3 linked regions of the Kluyveromyces lactis genome follow. The protein of the gene in region 2 binds, or shares a complex with, the protein of the main gene of each other region. Links are inferred from orthologs where the notes say so. Each region holds a gene or a part of one and is shown on either strand. Other genes may lie near its edges. The genes, in order: NUP49, NUP116 and POM152.

Evidence for each region.
Region 1: NUP116 (region 2) and NUP49 share a complex: the UniProt entries of both Saccharomyces cerevisiae proteins name them as parts of the nuclear pore complex. The link is inferred for Kluyveromyces lactis from reciprocal best matches to the Saccharomyces cerevisiae genes NUP116 and NUP49.
Region 3: NUP116 (region 2) and POM152 share a complex: the UniProt entries of both Saccharomyces cerevisiae proteins name them as parts of the nuclear pore complex. The link is inferred for Kluyveromyces lactis from reciprocal best matches to the Saccharomyces cerevisiae genes NUP116 and POM152.

What each region holds. Positions count from the first base shown.
Region 1 is NC_006042.1:2,083,983-2,094,939, forward strand, and holds NUP49 (FG-nucleoporin NUP49), read right to left. Parts: upstream 6,712-10,957; coding exon 5,494-6,711; downstream 1-5,493. Other genes in the region: serine/threonine protein kinase KNS1, read right to left, coding at 1-1,565; KLLA0_F22319g (uncharacterized protein), read right to left, coding at 2,631-3,242; KLLA0_F22341g (uncharacterized protein), read right to left, coding at 4,025-4,984; chromatin-binding exonuclease XRN1, read left to right, coding at 7,253-10,957. UniProt on the Saccharomyces cerevisiae protein: Functions as a component of the nuclear pore complex (NPC).
Region 2 is NC_006042.1:2,466,511-2,470,046, reverse strand, and holds the start of NUP116 (FG-nucleoporin NUP116), read right to left. Parts: upstream 2,801-3,536; coding exon 1-2,800. UniProt on the Saccharomyces cerevisiae protein: Functions as a component of the nuclear pore complex (NPC).
Region 3 is NC_006042.1:1,584,492-1,596,174, forward strand, and holds POM152 (Pom152p), read right to left. Parts: upstream 6,632-11,683; coding exon 2,723-6,631; downstream 1-2,722. Other genes in the region: DPI35 (Dpi35p), read right to left, coding at 1-578; mismatch repair protein MLH2, read left to right, coding at 826-2,658; putative divalent metal ion transporter SMF3, read left to right, coding at 7,787-9,217; RSC58 (Rsc58p), read right to left, coding at 9,546-10,998, 11,218-11,273; ATP-dependent RNA helicase ECM16, read right to left, coding at 11,590-11,683. UniProt on the Saccharomyces cerevisiae protein: Functions as a component of the nuclear pore complex (NPC).

The sequences.
Region 1 (10,957 bases), about 380 kb from region 2:
TGAATTGGATAGAGTGACTCGCCAGTAACTAGCTCAACCAATACACATGCTATTGACCAGATATCGCATGGGAAAGACCATCCAAGCCCTAAAACAATTTCAGGAGCTCTGTAGTGACGCGTTGAAACGACAGGTGGATGGTATTCATTGTAGAATACAGCACTTCCAAAATCAATTAATTTCACCTCAGGATTTATGAGTATTTTTCTCTTTCCACCGCTAGCCAGTTTCCTTCTTTCAGTTAAAGAGTCTATGATTTCCATTGGAAGTGACTGTTCCACGCAAGTTTCATCACATATCAATATATTCTCCGGTTTCAAATCAGTATGTATTATTCCTAAATCATGCAAGAAGCACACAGAACGTACCAACTGTTTACCGATAGCTTGAACATGGGAACCAGGGAACCTTGCATATCCATTGTTTGTCATAAAGTCATACACGGACCTGCCGTATAAATCAGTGACCAAGCATATGTGATTCTTGTAATCGAAGAATTCTCGCAACAGCAAGCATTGATATTGGCCACTCCTGTCATTTTCCTTTATAGTCTGCAAGACACGTAGTTCTGTCTTTGCAGCTTGCCGATATCTATCGACAGCTCTTATGATTTTGACAGCAACAGTGATATCGTTTAAATAGTCCTTGCACTTTACCACTTTCCCAAAAGTACCCTGTCCCAAAAGCTGCATAGCCTGGAATCTGTTCTTGGCAAAAATGTCATTCTCCTGGTATACATAATGACCTTCCTCATCAGTTTTGAATCTATCCATAGAACGTAATTTGTCCTGATGGGAGCCCAATAGCGGAGATTTCTTTAAAATTTTGGTGAACCTGGATGGAGATTTCGAGGCAGAATTTGAGATGTCAAAGTTCTGGTCCTGGTTATTGTTTTGCATACCACCATTTTTTCCCAATCTGAAATCAGCAACAGGTACCGGAGACAAAGATCTGATCAATGGCAATTTAATCAACTTGTTCCCATCAACAGTTTGCGTCGTAGTACCGCTGACATGCAATAACTCGTCATCATTCTGTGTCCTCCTATCCGTATTTCTGGGTTCGTAGAGTAGTCTTGCATGCGGTAATTGTGGTAAAGAGACTGTTCTTTGCTTCTTTACCTTTTTGGCACTCGTATAGTTGACACTATTGACAAACTCCACGGCACTGTCGTCCAAATCTACAAGATCAAATCCGTTCCCGTTTTCATTTTGTTTACTATTCCTATTATTAGCAGCGATACCGGTAACAAAAGATCCTGAATTCTGGCCCTGTCTGTCAACATCCAACAGAAGCGTGCCCCTTAACGAATCTGCCGTCATTGGATCGTTGTTGGATGACATAAATTCCTCGATGAACGGATTCTGCATCCGTCCAGTATTTGAAGCAGAAGACGTTGAGACATCTGCAGCTGCGGCTGCGGCTGCGGCCGCAGCTGCCGTCATTATAGGATCTGACATGTGTCCATCCATATATTGTGATCTCAGTGTCGAGCTTTCATTAATGCCTTCCAAAGTCCTGGTTCTTTTCCTCTTGGCAGCAAAATTCTTTGAGGCCATCGTCATAAATTAGTTTCCTGCGGTGGAAGAAGCAATTTCTCAATTAAAAAATGTGCACTTGTCCTATGCTTTTTCTTTACTTTAGAAAGGAGACCTTGATCCCTCTCCTGCAATGTTATTTTATTTTTAAATTGCTAATCTTTCAATGATAAGCGCAAATCCCTCGTCCAGCTAACACTATACCTCGATGAAACGTACCTGCTCTCTCTTTAAATGTCTGTTTAGCTTTGCTGAACAAGTGGTCTGCTAAAATAATACTTGGCAAACACCGTCATTTATATATAGTATATGTATTTATTCTTGGAGATTAATTAAATTAGTGAAGAATCATGGTTTAATCATTTCGAGGGGAGAATCCATCAGAACGGAAATTTTACCCTGCCAACCGATGATTCAAAAAAAAAAAAAAAAAAAATTTGGCAAAAACACTCAAGTGCAATTTTTTCCCAAGAAACGGCAGTAAGAGGAGAAACAATACGTCGTTAGATGCAATACGGCTACGTGGGTTATTGATTATTAAACGTTGGTTGTTGTCCATATATAGCTATAAAAAAGAACGTGGTTTGCTAGCTTCTTATGAGCGTGCGAGCAAGAGTTGCATGGGCAGCCAGCCTAACCTGATCCCGATAAACCTCAGCTACCGAGCTGCTCTCTTCTGAAGCGGCTTTGCAAGGGTTACGGATGATGGTGGTACGTAATTATAAAGTGGGTACGTCTTTGCTGGGTGACTGGAATTTCATGTTTCTGTAAGATTCTCGGGAGGGTAACAATAATGATTATGATAACACCCAAGGCCGTTCAACAGGGTCTGGGCCCTCCTCGAAACAAAACAAGTTTTGGGCCATGTATCATCATTATTTACGGATGTGTCGTGTGACACTGAGATCTTCGCTCTTATTTACCGTAATATACATATACCAATGCACATATCTGTGTGCTTTATATGTATAAATATGTAAATATAAAATATACCATCCTAATTACCTGTATTTCATTCTGCATCATATTGTAGTATACGATTTGTATAAAAAAGTTCAAAAGCTTATTATCCTTTAAGGTTAAAGATAAAAATCAACACTTGTGGCACTTGTGTTTCTTCTCGTGTCTTCGTAAATTGCTCTTGACATTGTAGCTCTTGTTACAATCAAGATATGTACATTTGAACGGTTTCGCCTGTGAATGCACCACTATATGTGTTTTCAAAGTGCTTGGACGAGAGAATTCTTTCCCGCAAATGTGGCATTTCTTACAGTGTATTTTCTTCTTGTAACGAGCCCCACGTCCTTGCTTTTGGTTCCATTCGTGGATGTACCCGGGTTCTGGTCTATCGTGCAGTAGCTTTTCTTGCAATTGTTTGAAATCTAACTCAGACAATGAATCTGTGGAAGAGCATGAAGAGTCTGAGTGGGCTCTGGGCCTAAATATTGCGTCACTTGTGTCTATCTTATTTTCAGCTTTTACTTTTTTCTCATCGGCAATGGTCAACGGGGGACTTATCGAGAGTTTAGTTATTGGAGGTAACGTCCTTGGTGTATCATCGAAATTGTCTGTGTCTGTGTAGTTTACTAAGTTACGAATGGATGGAAGAAGCGAAAATTGGTTACAACTTAGTGTCGCTCTGCCTCGATTTTCTGCCATTTCCTTTGGGCTCTTGGGTAGTGGTAAAATCATCTTCTTATCCATTATGTTTGGTTTTATTTTTATGTTATCTTTTTATTTGCGTCAGCGTGTGCTGATCTTATCCCACGGCCTTTTACGTCTCCTCCGCTGGTCAACTCCCGTAAAGAAAATGCTTTTTATATGCATATATATATATATATTTATACACTGTTACATGGCTTCAGACATGTGCCAAGCGGGTTTACTAGAAACCTACCAAGAATGTCACTAGATTGCCGTTATGATTGGCATATATAAAACACGTTTTTCCCTTGCTCATGACTCGTGGTCCCTCGAGTGGAAGAGAACAAAAATTAATTCCCAACAAAGTACGCAGTACTTTCCAATCATTACCACGTGAACTTGAACCCACATGCAGCACCATGCACGGTCTTTTCTTGATAAAGACCGTGCTTTTCTAACAATTTCCTTTTCGTTTTACTTAAGATGAGGTACCTTATTAACATTACGCAGATCCATGTTCGGCGTATTTGGTTCCACGTGGGAAATTCACGTGTTGGCTGATAAGCTAGTTATCATTTCGGGACGCCCTGGGTTTTTTAAAAAGGTCTGAAAGTCATTTGCATCCCCGAAATCTGATTTTGGACGATTACCCCTCCTGTTACCCGGACATGCGACGGGGAAATAGACATGATCTGGCCCAAGATGTTCCGTCATAACTGGGAGAGAACCTCTGTGCTGTAGGCCTGATGAAGACATACTTTAGAAACGAAATACACATACATATATATCCTGGAAAAACTGTTTACGTATGGTATATATCAAATTTTACCCTGAATCACACATCACATTCTTACCCTTAAGAGATCAAGTATTTTATGGTATTGGTGGCGAAGCTTATCAGAGGATTTGTACCAAATCCTAGGCACGGAAAACTTGCGCAAATGTGGGAATTCAAGTGGGTACATTTTCCTCATTTTTCTCTGGTACCTATGGATAGCAGCTTGTAAATTTACTCTGAACTTGAATAGTGATTGTCGTTGACGGGGCCATTGCGTCTCCTTGTAGCTATCGAATCTCTGTTTAGTTAGCGAGTAGAAAGCAGTGATCCGGTCTTCTGCTGTTTCCTTCGCATTCTTCGTCCATTCCTTAACGCTTTCGAAGTTTTCACGCCTCACCGTTGTACTGACCCAGTTAGAAGTTGCTGCATAAGTAAATTTCAACTTCTTCTGACATACTTCGTAATATTGCTCAAGAGAAGGGAAGCTAGGGTAATATGATGCTAAAGTGGATGGAAGTGGCGTTTTCTTCACGTATGCTGCTTCGTATGCATGGGCCCTATGGCCCATGTATGCATCAAATTGACAAGCCAATCTGTCCTTGAAAGCTAGTGAACTACACTCTAACTCGTTGTTTTTAGTAAAACTGTTAATATCACGGATGAAAACGGTCAAGAGGCCCATGTTGATGAGACCGGCCACCAACGAAATTCCAAGAATAACGGATTGAAGTTTCGTCAAGCGCGCTGTCCATGTATTGCTCCTTGCTGTTGTCTTTGCAGGCGCAACGTTGGATAATGAATCCAGTGGCGTGGATAACGACGTAGTATTGTTACTATGATTAACGCTCCCTTTCTTATTCTGCAACACTGCGGAATCCTCTAAGTCGCTGCTTGTCACCGATAAAATATCGTCCATTTCACCAGCGTCAAGATCCCTGATGGAATATGTACCGTCCACACCACCAACGACCCCCCAAGTGTCATTTCCATCCACTGATGTACATCTATCTTTTACTTCAGCCATCGCTTCGCTTTAATCAAAAAAAAAATCTCCTAGCTCCTTGATTTTACGCCTGAAGCTTGATCTACAATAAGTTTATACTGACAGAATTAATACTAAAATGTCACACTTAATATGTCTCTGATATTCCAATAATGATAGTTAGTTGCCAGCAACGTTCTAAAATTCTTATCAGTCCTATATATATTTCTTGAGTATAATCACAAAACCAGGACGCCTTTCCTTTGTTCTTTGTTTCACATTTTCGTTTCCGGGAAAACTGTTACTCCTTGTTAACCATTTTTTAATCCTTATTCCTTTTATATTTGTCGTATCAAATTCCCTTTTTTCACAACTCATTGACCTAAATAAGGAAGGGAAGATAAAGGGAGCCTGAGAAGAGAAGACTGCGAAGAGACAAGTGGCAGATGCGGTGCAGGTGCAGTGCATGTGCAGGAGTTAGTGATCTGCATCAATAGGTAATATGTTCTTGAACGCTTTCTTTTTTTATAGTATTAAAAGAATAATATCGACTATTTAACTATTATTTCTTTACACTTCTGATGCAGTTCTGCTATTCTTTCAGCTGTATCCATGAATAGTTTGAACTCTTCGATTAGAACGCTGACGATAATGTTAACACCGACCTTGGTATCATCATCTTCGGATGAATCGTTCCCAAAGAGATCATTCTCTAGACCTGACACTGCGTCGTCAATATTGCTTAGAGTGTCGTTGTAGTCATTTAATTTGTGTTTGTATGTGATTAATTTTTCCTGGAAGAACTTATCTATCTCAACGTTTGATATTTTGAATCCCTTACTGACTAGTTGTTGCAACATTATAGCAAAATTTTCCAATTGTTTAACATCTTTATCCACTAGTGTCTTGATGGCATCGATTCGTTTCAAATCTGATGATAGTGATCTTGTTGCGTTGAAATGCAATTTTTGTAGATACTTGATGTCACGAGGGATTGAATCCAATAGTTCAGTTTGATCTTGTAGATCAGCTTCAAGATGTTTGGATAAAGACACTTGCGTTCTAATGAATTGGTCCAATTGTTCGATTTCTTGACGAATTTGAATCGGAAGCTCCGATATCTTGGTCATCGGCGTGATAGCTAATTGGTTAATGAAATTAATGGCACTCTGTTGAGTCTGTTGTATCTGTTGTTGTGGTGGCTGTTGAAATTGATTTTGTGTTTGTCCAAACATTCCTAAACCAGATTGTTGGGATTGCTGTTGTTGATTTCCGAATGGGCCTCCGGTAGTTGGTTTGGATCCAAACAATCCTCCACCAGTTGCAGAGCCTCCGAAACCGGTAGTCTGTGGTTGTGCTGGTTTGGATCCAAATAATCCTCCTCCAGTTCCAGAGCTTCCAAAACCAGTGGTCTGTGGTTGTGCTGACTTATTCCCGAATAAGCCTCCGCCAGACCCGGCTCCTGAGTTACCAAATAGGCCACCTGTGGAGCCAGTGGCTGTATTATTAGAACTTCCGAAAAGTCCTCCTGCGGTTTGGTTCGTATTGTTGTTGGTGCCTGCTGGATTACTGCCAAATAATCCTCCGCCAGTCTGTGTCGCTGTATTGTTATTGTTTCCAAATAACCCTCCTCCAGTGTTACCTGATGTGGCATTGTTATTACCAAAAAGACCACCGCTAGTGCTTTGCTGGTTGCCCGTATTCCCAAATAATCCTCCTCCTGTGCTTGGTCCTACTGGAGGACCTGTAGAAGAAGAACGGCCAAACATTTCGTTTCTATCAGTAATAAGAGTATTAGATATTTACACGCCGTAAATTCAGTTAATTCAACTTACTGTTCAGTATCAATTGGTGTCTCAATTCTGCTCTCTCCATCTTTCTTTTTAACCTCATCTGTTTACTTTCTCAGTTTCCATATTCAAAATGTTTTCAACTCTTCCATCAAAGAGTATAAAACAAGAAAAAAAAGCTTGAACTTATGGATCCGGGTAACCCATAAACCTCGTCTCAAAAAATTTTGCCACCACCAAGAAAAATATTCCGATTGAACATTGGAAAGAATTACCAAATTACCTTAACGATTATGTTACTAAACAGTAGCTTTGGTTAATGTACTTTCAGGGTCTTTCATCCATATCAGGGTATATTATAACAATTCACTAAAAGTGGTTACTCATTGTTCGGCAACGTATACTACTGGTACTATCCAATCCCAGTTGTTGTTGATCTTTTCTATTGTTGGAGGAAAAAAGTCAGTAAAGCAAACCTCAGAAAGTGTTCAATTAATTACGGTTTGTGGCTTAACTAAAAATGGGTATTCCAAAATTCTTTCATTTCATCTCTGAGAGATGGCCTCAAATTTCTCAATTGATCGATGGATCACAGATTCCAGAGTTCGACAATTTGTACTTGGATATGAATTCTATTTTGCATAATTGTACGCATGGTGATGGTAGCGAGGTGAATTCAAGACTATCAGAGGAAGAAGTTTATTCCAAAATTTTCAGTTATATTGATCATCTTTTCCATACTATTAAACCAAAACAGACATTTTATATGGCAATCGATGGTGTGGCCCCAAGAGCAAAGATGAACCAACAAAGAGCTCGTAGATTCAGAACTGCCATGGATGCCGAAAAGGCTTTGCAGAAGGCCATTGAAAATGGTGACGAGTTGCCTAAGGGAGAGCCATTTGATTCCAACGCTATTACCCCAGGAACAGAATTTATGGCAAAATTAACCGAGAATTTGAAATATTTCATCCATGACAAGATCACCAACGATACCAGATGGCAGAACGTGAAGGTTATTTTCTCCGGGCATGAGGTTCCTGGTGAAGGTGAACATAAGATCATGGATTACATCAGAGCAATTAGAGCACAAGAGGATTACAATCCAAATACAAGACATTGTATCTACGGGTTAGATGCTGATTTGATCATCCTAGGTTTATCCACCCATGATCACCACTTTTGTTTATTAAGAGAAGAAGTTACTTTTGGTAAACGTTCGTCTTCTGTGAAAACTCTAGAAACACAGAACTTCTTCTTGTTGCATTTGTCTATCTTGAGAGAATATTTGGCATTAGAGTTCGAAGAAATAACAGATTCTGTGCAGTTTGAATACGACTTTGAAAGAGTATTAGATGATTTCATCTTTGTATTATTTACCATCGGTAATGATTTCTTACCAAATTTGCCCGATTTGCATTTGAAAAAAGGTGCATTCCCTGTGCTATTACAAACTTTTAAAGAAGCTCTCCAACATATGGATGGTTACATTAATGAACAAGGTAAGATAAATTTGGCAAGATTTTCCATTTGGTTGAAGTACTTGTCCGATTTTGAATACCTTAACTTTGAGAAGAAAGATATTGACGTTGAATGGTTCAATCAACAACTTGAAAATATTTCCTTGGAAGGTGAGCGTAAACGTACTAGGATGGGTAAAAAGTTGTTGATGAAACAACAAAAGAAATTGATTGGCGCCGTAAAACCATGGTTATTGAAAACCGTTCAACGGAAGGTCACTTCTGAATTACAGGATGCCGATTTCGAAATTTTCCCTCTTGAGGATAAAGAATTGGTTCGGGCCAACCTGGATTTCTTGAAGGAATTCGCATTTGATTTGGGTTTAATTCTTGCTCATTCTAAATCAAAAGATTTGTACTACTTCAAGTTGGATTTAGACTCCATCAATGTGCAAGAAACAGATGAAGAGCATGAAGCCCGTATTCACGAAACAAGACGTTCTATTAAGAAATATGAACAAGGTATTATTATTGCATCTGAAGAAGAATTAGAAGAAGAGCGTGAAATTTATAGCGAGAGATTCGTTGAGTGGAAAGATCAATACTATAAAGATAAATTAGATTTTTCCATCAATGATACTGATAGTCTAAAAGAAATGACAGAAAACTATGTCGGAGGTTTACAATGGGTTTTATACTACTATTATCGTGGATGTCCATCTTGGTCCTGGTATTACAGATATCATTACGCTCCTCGTATATCAGATGTGATCAAAGGTATAGATCAGAACATAGAATTTCACAAGGGACAGCCTTTCAAGCCCTTCCAACAATTGATGGCCGTCTTGCCTGAGAGATCAAAGAATTTGATTCCAGTTGTGTACAGACCACTCATGTATGATGAACACTCTCCTATCTTGGACTTCTATCCTAACGAAGTAGAGTTGGATCTAAATGGCAAAACAGCAGACTGGGAAGCTGTCGTCAAAATTTCATTCGTGGATCAAAAGCGTTTAGTAGAAGCAATGGCTCCTTATGATGCTAAGCTTTCTCCGGATGAAAAGAAAAGAAATTCGTTCGGAACTGATCTGATTTTCATATTCAATCCTCAGGTAGACACAGTTTACAAAACACCACTAGCGGGGTTGTTTAATGATATTGAACACAATCATTGTATCGAAAGGGAATTCATTCCAGAATCGATGGAAAACGTTAAGTTCTTATTTGGTTTGCCAAAGGGCGCTAAACTCGGAGCTAGCTCTTTGGCCGGTTTCCCATCCCTAAAGACACTACCACTAACTGCAGAGCTTGCTTATAATTCTTCTGTTGTCTTCAATTTCCCTTCTAAACAACAATCTATGGTGTTGCATATTCAGGACCTTTACAAGGAAAATGGCATCTCTCTGTCAGATCTAGCAAAAAGACATATGGGTAAGATTGTTTATTCAAGATGGCCGTTTCTAAGAGAATCTAAACTTTTGTCGTTGATTACAGAGGAAACTGTGTATGAAGGAGTTAAGTCAGGCAAATTAACAAAGGTCATTGAAAGAAAGCCTCAGGATTTTGAAAGGAAAGAATTTAGAGAGTTGAAGATGACTCTCAAATCGAATTATCAAAGGACAAAGGCCATTCTTTTGGATGACATTTCTGCTTTGGCTAAAGTGGTTCCAGTAAATGGATTGGTGAGAAACTCTGATGGTTCCTATTCTAAGTCTTTCAATGAAACTATCGAATACTATCCTTTACAATTAATCGTAGAGGACGTAAAAAATAAGGACGAAAGATATATTGAAAAAGAGCCGTTACCAATTAATAAAGAATTTCCAAAAGGTTCAAAAGTTGTGTTTTTAGGTGATTATGCGTATGGTGGGGAGGCGACCGTTGATGGTTATAATAGTGAGACTAGATTAAAACTTACAGTCAAAAAGGGTTCTCTCAGAGCAGAGCCTAACATCGGAAAAGTTAGAGCGAAATTGGATTCTCAAGCCTTGAGATTCTACCCAACACAAGTGTTTTCAAAAATAGCTCGTGTCCACCCTCTCTTCTTGTCAAAAATTACTTCAAGATATTTGGTCAATGATTCTAAAAAGAAAAGCCATAACGTCGGTTTGATGATCAAATTCAAAGCAAGAAATCAAAAAGTTCTCGGTTATGCCAGATGCAGCTCAAACAAATGGGAATACTCTGACGTCGCTCTTGGTTTGTTAGAGCAGTTCAGATCTACATTCCCTGAGTTCTTTGCGAAACTTTCTAACTCGAAGGAACAAGCAATTCCATCGATCACTGATCTCTTCCCTAACAAATCTAGCGCGGAAGCTGATTCCATTTTGAAAACAGTGGCTGATTGGCTCTCAGAAGCAAGAAAACCATTCGTGGTGGTGTCTTTGGAAAGTGATTCGCTAACCAAGGCTTCGATGGCAGCTGTTGAATCTGAAATCATAAAATACGTTTCTTTACCAGATTCAAGCGAGCAGAAGAAATTAGCTAAGGTCCCACGTGAGGCAATCTTAAATGCGGAATCGTCATATGTTCTATTGCGCTCCCAAAGGTTCCACTTAGGTGATAGGGTAATGTACATTCAAGATTCAGGCAAGGTTCCACTTCACAGCAAAGGTACTGTCGTTGGCTACACTTCAATTGGCAAGAACGTCTCAATCCAAGTTCTATTTGACAATGAAATAATTGCAGGAAACAACTTTGGTGGTAGGTTGCAGACCAGACGTGGTTTGGGATTGGACTCTTCCTTCTTATTAAACTTGTCTGAT
Region 2 (3,536 bases):
TCTGTTCCATTTTCTTTTGTGGTCCGTCGTCAGTATTGAAGATTATGAATTTCAATTCACCAGATGAGGTATCATCTTCTTCCATCTTTTGGCGATTGATGATAAGGTTTTTGAAAGACTTTTTGTCTGGATTAAAGAGGAGTTCTCCGGTAGTTAAAATAGCCTCATCAGTAGATGCAGTGAAAATTGAAGAATCCATAGGCTTTCTTGTTAGAGCAGTCGAACTAGTGTCTTCCTCCTTGGGTTTTGATAGTTTTAGATGAATTTTAACCTTTCTGGAGTTCGGTTCCGACTTTTTAGAGTCAAACAAGGGTTTTGGAAGCAGCTTGTATGCTGCGGAGAGGGAGTTCTTTTTCTTCAAGTCTGCAGAAACCATTGTGGCACTAGGCTTAGTTGGTTGAGTAATGGAATTAGGAATAGAGATAACACGGGAGAATAGCTCATCCGTACCATATGGATTGGAGTTCGCTTGTGCTGCTTGCTGCTGGTTTTGCATTTGTTGGTTTTGTTGCAAGGAAGATGAAGAGAATAAACCACCTGTATTTGCATTACCAGAAGTGTTGTTTTGTGATCCAAATAATCCTGTCGAACCAGTATTTGCTGGCTTATTCGCAGAAAATAAACTTCCGCCACCAATTGATGAGGCATTGTTCGTGTTTGTTGCGCCAAAAGGTGCAGTTCCGGCAGGTTTTCCACCGAATAATCCACCTCCAGTGGTACTACTCAAACCACCTGTTGGTTTAGTGCCGAAAAGGCCACCAGATGTTGACGCACTATCAGCTGGTTTGGCACCAAATAGACCACCAGTAGCCGTATTCTGCTGTTGTGTGTTGCCTCCGAATAACCCGCCGTTGGTAGCTCCTAAAGCGTTAGTGCCGGAAGGTTTGGCACCAAAGAGACTACCCGATGATTGACCTTGTTGCTGGTTGTTTTGACCAAATAGACCCCCCGTTGCTGTGTTGTTCTGGTTGTTATTTTGACCAAACAATCCGCTAGATGTATTCTGCTGCTGACTACTTTGGCCAAATAATCCACCAGTAGTTCCTGTTGGTTTTGCACCAAACAATCCTCCGGTGTTGTTTGCCATACTGTTGTTCTGCTGACCAAATAAACCACCGGTGTTAGGTTGCTGTGTTTGTTGGTTCTGATTACCAAATAACCCCCCCGTTGCAGACGGTTGATTACTTTGTCCGAACAATCCGCCAGATTGTTGTTGCTGATTATTTTGACCAAACAGCGCGGAACTACCACCCATTACAGTTTTATTTTGAGCTCCGAATAACCCAGTTGAACCTTGTTGACTTTGGTTGTTTGATCCAAACAGGCCACCGGTAGTTGGCTTCGCACCAAATAATCCTCCGCCCTGTTGATTCATGGAGTTGCTATTTTGTTGTCCGAAAGGACCGCCAGTGCTAGCTGCGTTACTTTGTTGTCCGAATAATCCTGTACTGTTTGTGTTAGATGGTTGTTGCTGTCCAAATAAACCTCCGCCAGTATTGGTGTTGTTTTGTCCAAACAATCCACCCGCCTGAGTATTGTTTACCTGACCGAATGGAGTAGAATTAGCAGCATTTTGTTGACCGAAAGGAGAGGGTCCGTTCTGTGCTTGCTGACCGAATAAACCGCCACCTGTAGTTCCACCTGGTTTTGATCCAAATAATCCACCTGAGGTGTTATTATTCTGACCAAATGCGTTATTGGCGTTACTTTGTTGACCAAAAAGTCCACCAGTATTGGCCGCTGTGGTGTTATTTTGTCCAAACAAACCACCCGGTTGATTGTTGGTGTTTGTTTGGCCGAAAGTGCTCCCAAAGGTGTTTGAACCAGTATTTTGACCAAATGCGTTACCTGGGTTTTGCTGTTGGTTTTGTTGACCAAATAATGAGTTGTTGGCTTGACCAAATGCGGAATTATTATTGGTGGTGTTTTGTCCAAACAGACCTCCAGAGGTAGCCGGTTTGTTTAAACCGAATGGAGAAGAACTTGAAGCAGTATTTTGCCCGAATGGAGAATTATTCTGCTGTTGTCCAAACATGCCAGTTTGCTGTTGCTGCTGTGGTTGGCCAAAGGGAGTGTTATTAGGTTGTGAAAATGCATTTACAGGCTGTTGCTGGCCAAAAGGTGAATTTGCAGGCTGTTGACCAAAGGGAGTTGCGCCACCTGCACTGATGGTATTTTTATTTCCTAAACCAAAAGTGTTGTTAGTACCATTTGTCTGTTGTTGACCGAATGGCGAAGCAATAGCAGAAGCTGTCGGACCTCCAGCAGTGGTGCTAAATTTCCTATTTTGTTGATAATCTTGGAACCTCAACTCTTCAAACGAATAAAGGCTATATTCAGGCATACAAGTAATAGATTGAAACACCGATGGATATCCAGTTGACACATCCTTTTCCGTATAAGGTTGGAATGGCTTGATTCCAGTGCCAGAAGGAGGTCCAGAAGAGAGAACGCCTGTCGCTGTACCACTAGATTGGCTACCACCAAACAGGGATGGTGGGTTCGACAATGAATTACCTGCTGCTGCTCCTGCTGCTGCCCCGCCAAACGGAGAAGTAGTTGTATTTTGCTGTTGTGACATACCGAATGGGGAATTTATAGTTTGCGTAGGGTTTGTATTAGCGCCGCCGGTACCAAACCCACCAAACCCTGATTGCGCGTTGTTGGCAGAGCTGGATCCAAACAGATTGTTTGTGGTTCCACTATGCTGTTGACCGAACGCATTGGTTGTTGACTGAGTTTGTTGGCCAAAAGGAGAAGTACTCGTCTGTCCAAATGCCGGTCGAGAAGCACCAAACATCAGTGGGTCAGGAAATCAAGTGAGGTGACAATTGATGAAAAAGCTGACTAGGAATAAAATAATATGTCCTTCAATGACACAAGTAATCTCTAAGTAGATAATACCAAAGTCGTAGCGTTTTGGTTCAATGGTATTTTTCTGAGAAATAATTTAAAGATGAGTGAGTGTCCTTGTTCTCTGATTGTGAAAGAAGAAACACACTAATCAATTAACGATCTATAAAAAAATTTCCCACTTTACGCACTGTATGAATACTTTTATTGGTCTCAGTTGCTGATAGTATGACTGAAAGACAAATACGACAAATCATATAAGCCGAAACATTGCTTGCATCAACTTAGAAAACGTTAGTTCTTTATCATCAATTAGTTGTTTACTTCAAGGATAAAGAAATTTTCAGAGGTGAGGGATGACCTAAAATCGTATTAAGTGACATAGCGTACGTAGTGATACGTAGTTTTGGGGGATTGTGATGTAGCAGTAATTACTTGAGCACAAGGGAACAGCTGCTAATGCAATTCTGAGTTGGCTCCCTGTTTGAAACACTTAATTCCAATATGTTATATATAATGAATTCCGTCTGTTAAATTACCCAAAAAGTATATATGTTCTATATAGTCGAAAGAAATGAAAATAAAATGAGAGATAAAGCCAGGCAGTAAAGGCATTAAAAGATGCATCTCTCTGGTATGCAAATCTTCGGTAGACACAATAAAGTAGATGTGAAACCCCCTTA
Region 3 (11,683 bases), about 880 kb from region 2:
AACATATGAGAGACCGCGTAATTAAACATAGCCGGGTCGGGTTTTTTTATCTCAAGATCATAAGACAGATAGATATTTCCGTCGAAATATTTCTTAAGATCTAAATTCTCTAACAACGTAAGGACAATGGGGTCAGTATTACTGACGATCCCCAAAGAAACCTCAGGATGGTTCCTCCTCATTGTCTCCAAAAATTCCCTGACGTCTGGGTATACCGTATAGGCAGCATCGCCCTCGAACCTTTCTAAGATTTCTTCTACCATTTCATTTGGTATCTGTATTGGTTCAAACATATCCCTAATTAGATACTCCCACCATTGTTCAGCCGTGATACCAGAATTTTTACCATATAAAGGATACTTTTTACGGATATTACTGAAAACCCCTGGAAATCTCTTAGTGAGTTCTTGTGGATTACCATTAATCCCGTACTTGGCACCCACTATACAATACTGTTCCATTACAGGTTTTTTGATGGAATAAAGAGTATTATATGCATCAAACGTTATGATTTTTGGCCGCGAGTGCTGCAAACTGCCATTTTTGAGTACCTCTCTAGGAATTCTTACCGGTACCATATTTCCCCGGTTAGATTAACGTTACTTGACTTCAATCTACTACTCTGAAATCGAGAGCTTTTCTATGTTTTATTTCTTTTAATGGTTCAACTTGGTATACATTTTTCAGAAAAAGCTTGGTCGAATGTACTCTGAAGTTCATCAACTTAGATCTGACATATAAATACAGAAAGCAGATATACAATAAAAAGATGCCTTAAAAAGGAGTAGAGATTCTGCCCAGGGATAAATATTGTAAAGTCGCTGTATGAATAATAGGTTTCATTGTTGGCTGTTTGAAAATAGCACTTCAACAAACCGTGTTATTGATAATCCTGTCTCGGCGGTTAAACAGCTGATAGAGAATTCGATAGACGCCAATTGTACTAAAGTGCTGATCAAAATAGATGAATCTAGCGGCGGATGTAGGTACATCCAATTGAATGATGATGGTAACGGAATAAGTGTCCAGAAGCGCAGCAGCGTTTTTGTTAAACACTTCAAAACTGACGGTAAATCATGCAAAAGAATAGGGTACAAAGGAAGAGCGTTATATAATATTGGCAAAACAGCATCGAAGAAGGGATCTATCGAGGTGATAACACGGACTATTTCAGAGAATGTTGCTGTTAAATGGTCACCACCTAGAATCAGAATAAATGAAACTATTAGATTTTCCAAGGTAGTGAATCCACCGGGTACGACAGTTATTCTCAGAGACCTAATGACGGGAAGTAAAAGCAGTAGACTGGCAAAGAAAGATAAAAATTATATTAAAATGATTAGGGATATGCTTTTTCATTTTTCTTTGATTCATAAGCATATATGTTTTAGTTGCCAGCTTGTCAATCCTCTAAGGGACGGAAGTATCAAGACTTTAGAATATGTTGCGCGGTTTGGTAAATATGAAGACCGGATGTCGCAATTCAAAAAACATGTTACCAAACAGAATCTTATAGTTGAGTTCGAACACTTTGATGAGATAGAGCTAAGTGAATCTCTAAAAGTTAATATCATATTGCCCAAAATTCGAACACATGGCAGAGTGACAGAATTGATGCCGAATCTTAAATATCCTTGCATTAATGGAGAAGCAGTAATGGTACAATCAGGCTTTGGTAAAAAAGTCAATCATTTTTTCAAGGAATTTTATAAGCATTTCGGGAAACCAGAACCGAGGGCATGGTTCATTCAATTTTTATGCCACCATACTAGCGACAATGCTGTAGTCAATGGCGAAAATAAAGCTGTCGCACTTACACTGGAAAAAGCTCTATCTATTTTGCAATGTTCACTGCTCACCTTCTACGCTCCACACATGCAGTATAATGATCCTTCAAATTCTACCCATATTGATAGTGAATCAGTGATTTTCACTCGTAGAATAATTAATACAAGTGACATTCCAAAGCAAATTCACCGGCAAATAACCAATAACCCTACTCAACAAATTCTCGAGAAGGAATCTGAATGGTTGACAGACATGTATAGCGGCACGCTATCCGATGGTAGATCTTCACCAGTAAGGGAAAACCTTCTATATTCTGACATTGTGAACACCGAGGATTGCTGCATTGAGCGAGATCTTGAAGACGTAGAGCTATCCAGAAATACGACTCTTTCAAATCCATTTATTCTTTCTCGGATCCGTGCCAGGAACACTACAGAGATAGTTGACGATCAAATTAAAAGTTCGGGCATACTAGAAACATACTATCAGAGGCAGACGCAATCTTCTGAGTTTTTTCAAGAACCAACAAGCAAGAGAAGAAGAATTTTGGAAAATGATCCAGAATATGACCATTCAACAACCCTTGTTGATATTGAGCATACAGCAACCAACAGCTCTACTAAAAACCTCGACTTACAGTTTGAACATACTTTCAATCTCGGATGTCGCAAAGCTGTCGGCCGAAGCGTTCCATGGAAGCTTCGTTTCTTGAAAAATGCCTATAAGAAGGAATTGGTCTGGTTCCACAGGAGCGGCATGCCCTCATTACCTTTATTGGATGGAATACAAACGCTAATGGAAGGCGAAGATAGTGATGTAGATTTACAGCTAATTCTTATGCCAACAGGTTGGTTTATGATAGCCCTATAGTTCACCACTTTGAAGGATCAAATGAGTTTTAAGATGGTTATTTATTATACAATGAAATCAAATTTCAATCCAACAACGCACGATTCTTAGCTGCGCAGAAGGCGTCTGACACTTCTAAAGCTTCATATGTACCTTGTAGACTGGTCACAACTCTGTACTCGTAAGTATAGATATCGGAAACTTTGTGTGTTTCAACAATTTGTTGCTTTCTGCCCTTTTTGGTGCCAGAGTTTTCAGTACGGACGTAGGTTAATGCGAAAGGAGGTGTACCTTCGAAGGAGAATATAACTTCAGCTTTGTCACCTTCATGAATATCTTCAACAATCTCTTGGCCTTGTGATACTGTTACCGACGGAATTGGATGTATATTCAAAGATAACCTTTCAAAGTCTTGTTTCATCTTCGGATTTGTGAAATCTACTACACATTGTGATGAAGAATCCTGGATTGAAAAAATAGATATAACGCCGGGCTCAGATGCATATCTGACGAACTGAGAGGAACGTTCCTTGGATTTTAGCTGCTTACCATTGAAGTCGTACTTTATTATGAATGGAGGTGTCCCACTCAATTGGTATCCAACGTAATCCCCAACACAATATTCCATGGTAGAGTCTGCTAGGGATATCCTAGGAACGTCTGTTATTGATATTGAAATCTGATTACCACTCGAAGATAGGTCATTGATACAACCGTTTGCATCAGTAACACTATCAATGCTTACTAAATGATTTCCCAACGAGAGGCCATCATACAATCGTTTGTAATCAAAGTTAGCAGCCGTAATATTATGCATGGTGAAAGAATCTGTTTTCGAAGAACTTTCGTGATAAATACTGAACGAAACAGAGAAAGGAGCTGAGCCATGAGGCACCTTCAGTTTGATATCCTGCATTAGCTTTGATTGCTCTATGTTTGCGGAGCAGGTTCTGTAGGTGCTTCCTTTCTCTAAGAATTCTATTTCTGGAAGTGAGTTTACATTCTGTCTTATCGAAAGTTGAGAAGGTTTGTACGCAAGTTTTTGGAGGTCAGCCTTCCCATAATTGGAATCATATACATTCTTAATCTTTATCACATATTCACCAACGACTTCATTAGGGAATTTAATTGAAGCATACTTCGTAGCAACTTGCACTGAAGATGAGATAAGCTCTCCTAACGGTGAAATCATATCATATTCTATCAAAAAGGGTGGTATGCCGTTTAGAGACATATCGATGGTTTCTTCAAACCCTTGGCAGACATCATTTTTAATGTAGTTGAAATCGTCCAGTTTTGAGATTCTGTTGTGCTCAATTAATGAGTACGTAGGTTTTTTGAGATAACTTACTTGGAAAGTATGGTTCGGATCTACGATCTTGCCAACACAACTCTGGTCACGAATTGAAGCCAATTTATACAAACCTTCCTTCATAACCTTTAAGGCCGGTTTATAGTTGGAACTGAAAGTCACCTCTTCAGTTTCGAGAACGTCTCCCTTGTTATCCAAATGGCTATAGGTGATTCTGAAAGGTCCTTCACCTGAAAGTTTTAATGGAAGTTCTGCGAATGAAGCTTCTTTAATGCTGACTTGGGAGGAAGATTCTGACACAGCAAAAGAAGCAGAAGGAATATCTCTTCTAACGGTAATTCTGGCATCAGTACCACTTAGACCTACCAAACATCCACTGGAATCCTTCACAGAAACTAAAGATAGGATATGATCACCACCAATGTTGAAATTAGGTGTTTCGATCTCATAGGAAAAACTTTGAATATTCTCTTTATTAAACGAAGTTCTCTTATTAGAAGAAGTCTCTACTAAATCATAGTTTAACGTGAAAGGAGGCTCACCACTGAATTTAATAGGTACCTTCGTTTTCCCTCCAAGACATAATTTTGTCTCTAGCTTCCCTGAAATCTTTGCACTAGGTTTCACTCTCATGCTGGTTTTGAATGTGTACTCTTTCGAATCTAAGGAGATAGGAGATGTGAAAAGTTCATTTGACAATTCGGTGAAAACAATTTCATAACTGCCTTCTGATGTGGGTGAATAAGTAAACTGGTTTCTGGTTCCTTGGGAGCTGAATTTTTTTGTATCATATAGTTTACGTTCTCCTTGCTCAGTTTTGTATATTTTTGTTTTGTAGTAAAAGGGAGGAACACCGGTAAAAGTAAGATCAAAATTCAAGCCGACCTGTCCAACACATTGATCTAATATTGGGGTTGATCTTACAGATAATTGAGGAGGAATTGGTTTAGTTATCAGAACATTAGATTTTCCAATCACGGCACCGTGGCAATACCTCGATTTTACTGAGAGCAAATTATAAGAACCTGGCTCATCAACTTTGAATTCTAATGTTTTATCATTGAATTGTTTTTCGAAGTATCTCACTTTGGAGTTGTTATCTTCATGGGATAACTGAACGATGAATGGAGCATCCTTGTTAAAATCGCCAGAGTCCAATTTGACTATTAAAGACCTTCTAACAGAACTGTCGGGATTCATTTTTTCATCCAAAGATACTCTTGGTAAGTCGTGCACGTAGAATCTGTGGATCAAATCATACTTTTCTCTTACTTGTGATGATAATGAGGAAAAATCAATGCTATTACCAAATCCATCCACAATTCTTTCGATAGAGTAAACATGTTCACCGTATTCTTTGGTTGAAGTTTCTAATGCGATATCTACAGGGTACGAACGAGCCCATTTTAAATCTTGGACATCTTTTTGACTGTAGAATTTTGAATTCGTTAGCAAAGGTGATTCAAAATATTCTGGTTGAAGTGATGAATCTTCTAGTACGTATCTTTGGCCATTGATTGTCTTAGTATAAGTCAATTTAAGAGGTGGAGCACCTTGTACCTGAATTGAAACCTCATCATTATCTCCAACACATCTATCATTTTCTCCCTTTCCGTTAATGGAAGCCAATGGGCAGTGAGGTAGCACTAATTGGGATTTGTATATTCTCAAATTGATATTATTAGTGTCTAGAACGGTTTTCAACTGGTAAAACCCGATTTTGTTAAGAGGTACAGTAAAGTAATGTATGTTACGATCAGTTTCTTCCTTTGAAATATCTGCCTTGAGTGGTTTTAAATCGTTCTTGGTGAAGTTCCACAGTTCACCTTCATTTGAGTATAGATCTCTGAACTCTAACTGGACTGTATTGATTGTGGATGATGAGTTGACTCTTATAGGTAGTTCAATGGCAGGACCAGATTGGTCCAGTGGTAGACAAAAAGACGAGTGGAAGGGATTCAAATATGCTGTATTTTCTGGCAAAATTTTAATGGTATGTGCACCTTTGAAGTGTTCTGCCGAATTCATAGCCTTTCTTGGGTTGACAGAGTCACCTGTTAAGGACAAGTCTCTGCTGTGATACTGTCTCCATAATGACAATAGAAGCGATACCAATGGGATACTTTGTTCACTGGAGATAAACAGTGTGAGGGTTGCGGATGAAATAATCTGCAAAAGCACTATCAGTGGTTTGAACTTTAATTTGGGTATTTTGAACGTGGGGAGACAGTAAAAGAACAAAGAGTCTATTACCAAATATTTTGAAATGAAGTTTAACCTTGAATTCGATAGAAAAATCCCAGATAATGGTATCCCACTCTTAAGTAGGATTAGATCGTATAGTTTGTAGCATTGAATGATAAAAAAAACGACGAAGGCTAATCTTCTCTGACTGGCTGCATCGAGAACTTCAGTAGAAATCAAAGGTAGCTCCTTAATCGATTCACTCGCTGGGCCATTCTTTGCTCTACTAGTGCTTGACTTCGATTTTCCTGTGTAATTGGAAAAACCGGATATACAAAATGGATCTTCTTTTGGTTTGTTGATCTCTTCATTTCTTCGATCGCTTATTCCTCCTCTGAACGAGTCTTTATCTCTATTTCCAACGTTCCTACGCCTACTATCACTCCACATCGATGGAGTATGTGTATAGAACCCATTTGTTCCGAAACTGGAATCCATTATCTAACTGTATATGCGTCTGAACTTATCTCAGCTTCCCTTTTCAACAGAATATGATTCTAAAGTGCCAATACGCAGAAGTTTAATAGAAAAAAATGGGATCACGCATACAACTTATCACTTAGTCGCTCGCTTTTTAATTGACGATTGGTATGTAACGGGTGCCTGGATCGCGATTGCTTGTTGATCCTAGCCTGCATCTGCATACATGAGAAGACCAAACATAAGCTTAAAGTTTGAACTTCTGTTTGTTGACAAGATCTGAATCGGATATATCATTATGTACGATTCAGGTTTCGCTTCTGATCAAGGTACAATGGTCAAGGACGCAGCAACTCTATATGATCTGCCACTACGTTGTGGTCTTAATATTCGAATTATAGCCTCTTGAATTCTTCGCCTATCCAGAATTACCAGTGAGATCGTTTGCATCGATATTATAATGTCGATTCCGTTGCATAGCTCCATTGCTTACGTCAAATTCCCGTCAAATTCCCGTCATCCTCTCATAAAACCCTAGTCAGAAGCAAGGAGGACATAAATGCTAGTAAGCAAATGTCTTTACCCCATCTGGCTAATGAATCCTGAATTAGGTAAGTTTTATCATGACCTCATCTGATAAAAACCTCGGCAAATTTGAATGCCAGATTCAGTAATAGTAATGATAGCTAAGGGTCCTAACATATATAATATATATATTTACCAGAGAGAAAAAGAATGTTTTGGTTGGAATCGAGATACTTCCATTGTCCAGGATCGTCTCCTTTTTTGAATCACAACTGGAGCACTGGAACTTATTTGTTTTCAACACCATATACAGCTCTCACGTTCGTCGTATATAACATTACAGAGGTGCATTTGAATCTCCTTCTATAAAAGAAGTTTAGAAATTTAAGGTTTTGATTTATTTGATTTGCACTCTTACAAATAAGTCATTTACGAGAAGAGAGTTTGCTAAAACACGATACGTTAGAATCTGTAAGAGTTTGAGGCGCTAGCTCAATAGAGGTCAGATATTCTGTGTTGTAAATTGGTGATAGTTCTGCTGTTTTCATTCTCTGTTTATTGGAATTTAGATAAAGGAACGAAAGACGGTAATTTATTCTTGGCACGTTACTGTTGGTACTTAAAGATTATCTAAACTGTGAAACTGCCATGCTTATACTATCTCGTGTATTCGAGAGGAACCATGTTGAAATTTTGAGGAAGTTTATGAAGTTTGTCGGACCTGGGATCATGGTCAGTGTTGCATACATGGACCCTGGGAACTATTCTACTAGTGTGTCAGGTGGTGCACAATTTAAATACAAATTGTTGTTCATCACATTCATTTCAAACATATTTGCGATTGTCTTGCAATGCCTCTGCATCAAGCTAGGTACAATCACTGGTTTGGATTTAGCTGAAAACTGCCGTCGTCATTTTTCAAAGCGTGTTAATTATATTCTATACGGGTTTGCAGAAGTTGCAATTATCGCAACAGACTTGGCGGAAGTGATTGGTGCTGCCGTTGCATTAAATATCTTGTTTAACATTCCCTTGTTATGGGGTGTGCTGTTGACCGTTTTTGATGTGTTGCTGATACTTCTGTTTTACAGGCCAGATGAACATTCCATGAAACGGGTCCGGGCGTTCGAAACTTTTGTTGGGATTTTAGTTGGAGCGACAGTTATTTGTTTCGCTATTGAATTGTTCAAGATATCCGTACCAAGCAAGTTAGAGGTGTTCAAAGGCTTCATTCCAAATCCCATCATCTTCAAAGAACAACAAGCGATGTATATCTCTTTAGGTATTCTTGGTGCTACTGTGATGCCTCATTCCTTATTTTTGGGTTCCTCTCTCGTAAAACCAAGGGTTTTCGATTACGACTTAAAAAAATACGGTAAAATTAAGGAACAACCTTCAGTAGGTGCCATTGAGTACACGTTGCGATATTCGTACGCTGAATTGATAGTGTCGTTGTTTTTCATCGCCACTTTCGTCAATGCTGCCATTTTAATAGTCGCTGGTGCGACTTTATATGGGCAACCCGATGCAGAGGATGCTGATTTACTCTCTATTTATGAATTATTGTCCCATTATGTGTCTCCAGCTGCTGGGCTCGTATTTGCATTGGCAATGCTCTTTAGTGGTCAATCAGCAGGTGTCATTTGTACCATGGCAGGTCAAATTGTATCAGAAGGGTTTTTAGAGTGGTCACTTGAACCTTGGGTGACTCGTCTATTGACAAGGTTGATAGCCATCGTACCCTGTTTCTTAGTTACGGCTTTCTTGGGAGAAAAGGGGGTATCTAGTATTCTAAACTTGAGTCAAGTGGTTCTCTCATTGATTTTACCAATCGTTTCTGCTCCTTTGATTTACTTCACTATGAATCATAAAATTATGACCGTTGTGGATGTGGATTCTGCACCCGCATCTGCAGACAGTACTGAAGAAAGTAGATTATTATCGAAAGGCGTTAAGTCCATTGACTACACCAATGGAAGACTGTTGAGCATCAGTTCATTTGTTATATGGTTGACAATTGGTTCATTGAATTGTTATCTTGTATTTTCATACCTCATGGGAGCGGACGTGCATTTTTAAGTCTAAGTAGGCATTTTATATAGTTTTGATGGATTCTGTTTAATCTATAATCAATTCGTAAATTGTACTTATTGGATCTGCTTTGTTGATCTCTTCTCTTGTACCTTTGTTGTGGTTAATTTCTTTGTTCTTTATATAATCTTTAATTGTTCTTGGACATTTACCTTCGAAAGTAATTGAGGAAGTAAAAAAATCGAAACACTGATGGTTTCAGAAAATAACTCCAAATAATAGTAACCGTTAGCTATCACTGATAATAAACTAGCCCCACAGATTATTGCACACTACCACAGCTGCGATTTATAGATTCTATACGGAAATATCTACTTCACTGCATAACTTTCTTACTTTTCTTTTTTCTAGTCGATATGGTCTTGACGACAGGAACTGATCCGGCATAATTAGTCTGAAGGACTGGGAAATGTTTCTCGTGCAATTTTGGAGATGTCACAATCTGTTTAGAAAGTAGAGCTTCTTTCAAGATGTTCTGTGCTCTATGATAAAGGGAAACTTCCTCACTTGTTGGTTTTGATATCTTGTTCAGCTTGACCCTTCTCGATTTACATGCCTTTAGCTTTAGCAATATCTCTGTCAATAACCTTTGCTGTTCACCTTGCTCAAAAGCCGTTATATCTTCATCATGTATCTCATGGCTAGGTTGCCAGTCATAAAGATTTTTCAAATTAATATTGACAGGTCCAGCTGGCTCCGTTGTCACTATTACTTCATCTCCCTCCTCATTTGTATCTTGCTCTTCATCCGTGGCAACATTCTGCTCTTCATCATTTTCATTTGATTCCTTTTTTTGGTTGTCAGATCCGATACTGTCATTTGCTTCCTCAACCTTTTGATCTTCAATACCCTCATCCTTTATTTTTTCATCTTCAACATTTTTATCTTCTGCTTCCGCAGCCCCTCTCTTCTTCGATTCTATTTCTAACCAGCTTTTGTATCCGACCTTTTCCAACCATATGTCTCCTTTACGGGAACAATCTGTTACAGACTTGAACTCCGAGATACTCGGAGCAAAAGATTGATAGTCGCCATACTCCAACCATTTAGTAGTGGGTAGCGGGTACCAATTCGGATGCAGAAAGGAGGTCATGATTTCTGTAGGAGAAATTGTTGGATCAGGAACATTGGAAGTGTTAGCTGCTACGAATCCCAATCTATTGGCTGGTTGGGATGTTGCTTGAGGAATAATTTTCACAATTTCACATTCCTCGTATGGTACTTCCTTTGGCCTCTGATCAAGTACTGACCTCGTTATCACCGAACTGAACAAATGTCCCTCCTTTGTCTGCGTATGGTAAGTTTCAGTAACGGGGAGCTGATAAACTTGACTAATTTTAAGGAAATCATTGGAAATGGTTTTTGAAAAATCACTTTCTTTGAAGTCAATGTCTGCCGCGAAGTCTCCCACCAGTTTGGCTCCAACTCTATAACATTCCCTTAGAATCAATTCTGCTGCAAATTTGTAGAATTTGTCGACCATTTGGTACGACCTCGTTCCTTGAGAGTAGTAGTGAATTAAAATGGAGCATACTAATTTAATATCATGGTAAATCCGATAAACAGAATCTTCATGCTTCTGGTAATCTCCACTAGCAAATTTATCAGATATGGAAATTGAATCAATATCTTCTGCTATTTTGATATCTGGATTTTCATCAAACTTGGCCCTTAGAAACTTCACGTAAGAATCGTATATGTGTGTTGGATCAGGCTCGTAGAATTCTTTAGGAAACCTTTCATCTAAAGCTCTGCATTTCGAAGATGCACTAATTAAATCAAAATAAAATTAATACTGTTAGTATTTGATTGTAAAATAAAATCATGCTTTGGCAAATCTAACACTGAAAACATAAAATAAAGACTTGAGGAACCCCAGGTCATCGTATGCTGGTCTTTAATTTATTATTATCACCGATTCTAGACAAAAACATGTGCGAATGCAACATAATTCGAATGAAAAATGTGTTGTTTTTATATTCACATACCCTTTTAAAACAGTTAGTAAGTTCTGAAAAAAATTCTCTTTTAGCAGCTCTACCATTGTTTACTTATTTTTAGCCCACTATAAAAGAGTTTGCAGACCTTGTACTCTCTCACTGCCCATCAGTTTGTCATTCAGCAGTAATGTAAGAAGCCTTTATTGATCAACCTGCGCCAAAACCTGTGTTTTCATTATGAAAAACATCAAAACCGTACATCATGATCCAACTGGCATCCATTGACAGCTTTTACAGAGATTCCTGTCACAGCAACAGTACCCAGTCATAGCCTAACAAGCTAGGTATTGGCCTTTAATTATTCCAATGCAATTGGTATTATATGAGTTAATTAATTCTATAAATTGTACTGGTGTAGTTCTAGGGTCTTTTCGAAGCTTGATAGTTTTTAAATGCTTTTGGAGTAAGGAATTTCTTGACCGTCCATACACCTTTCTCTTTCTCTTGATGAACA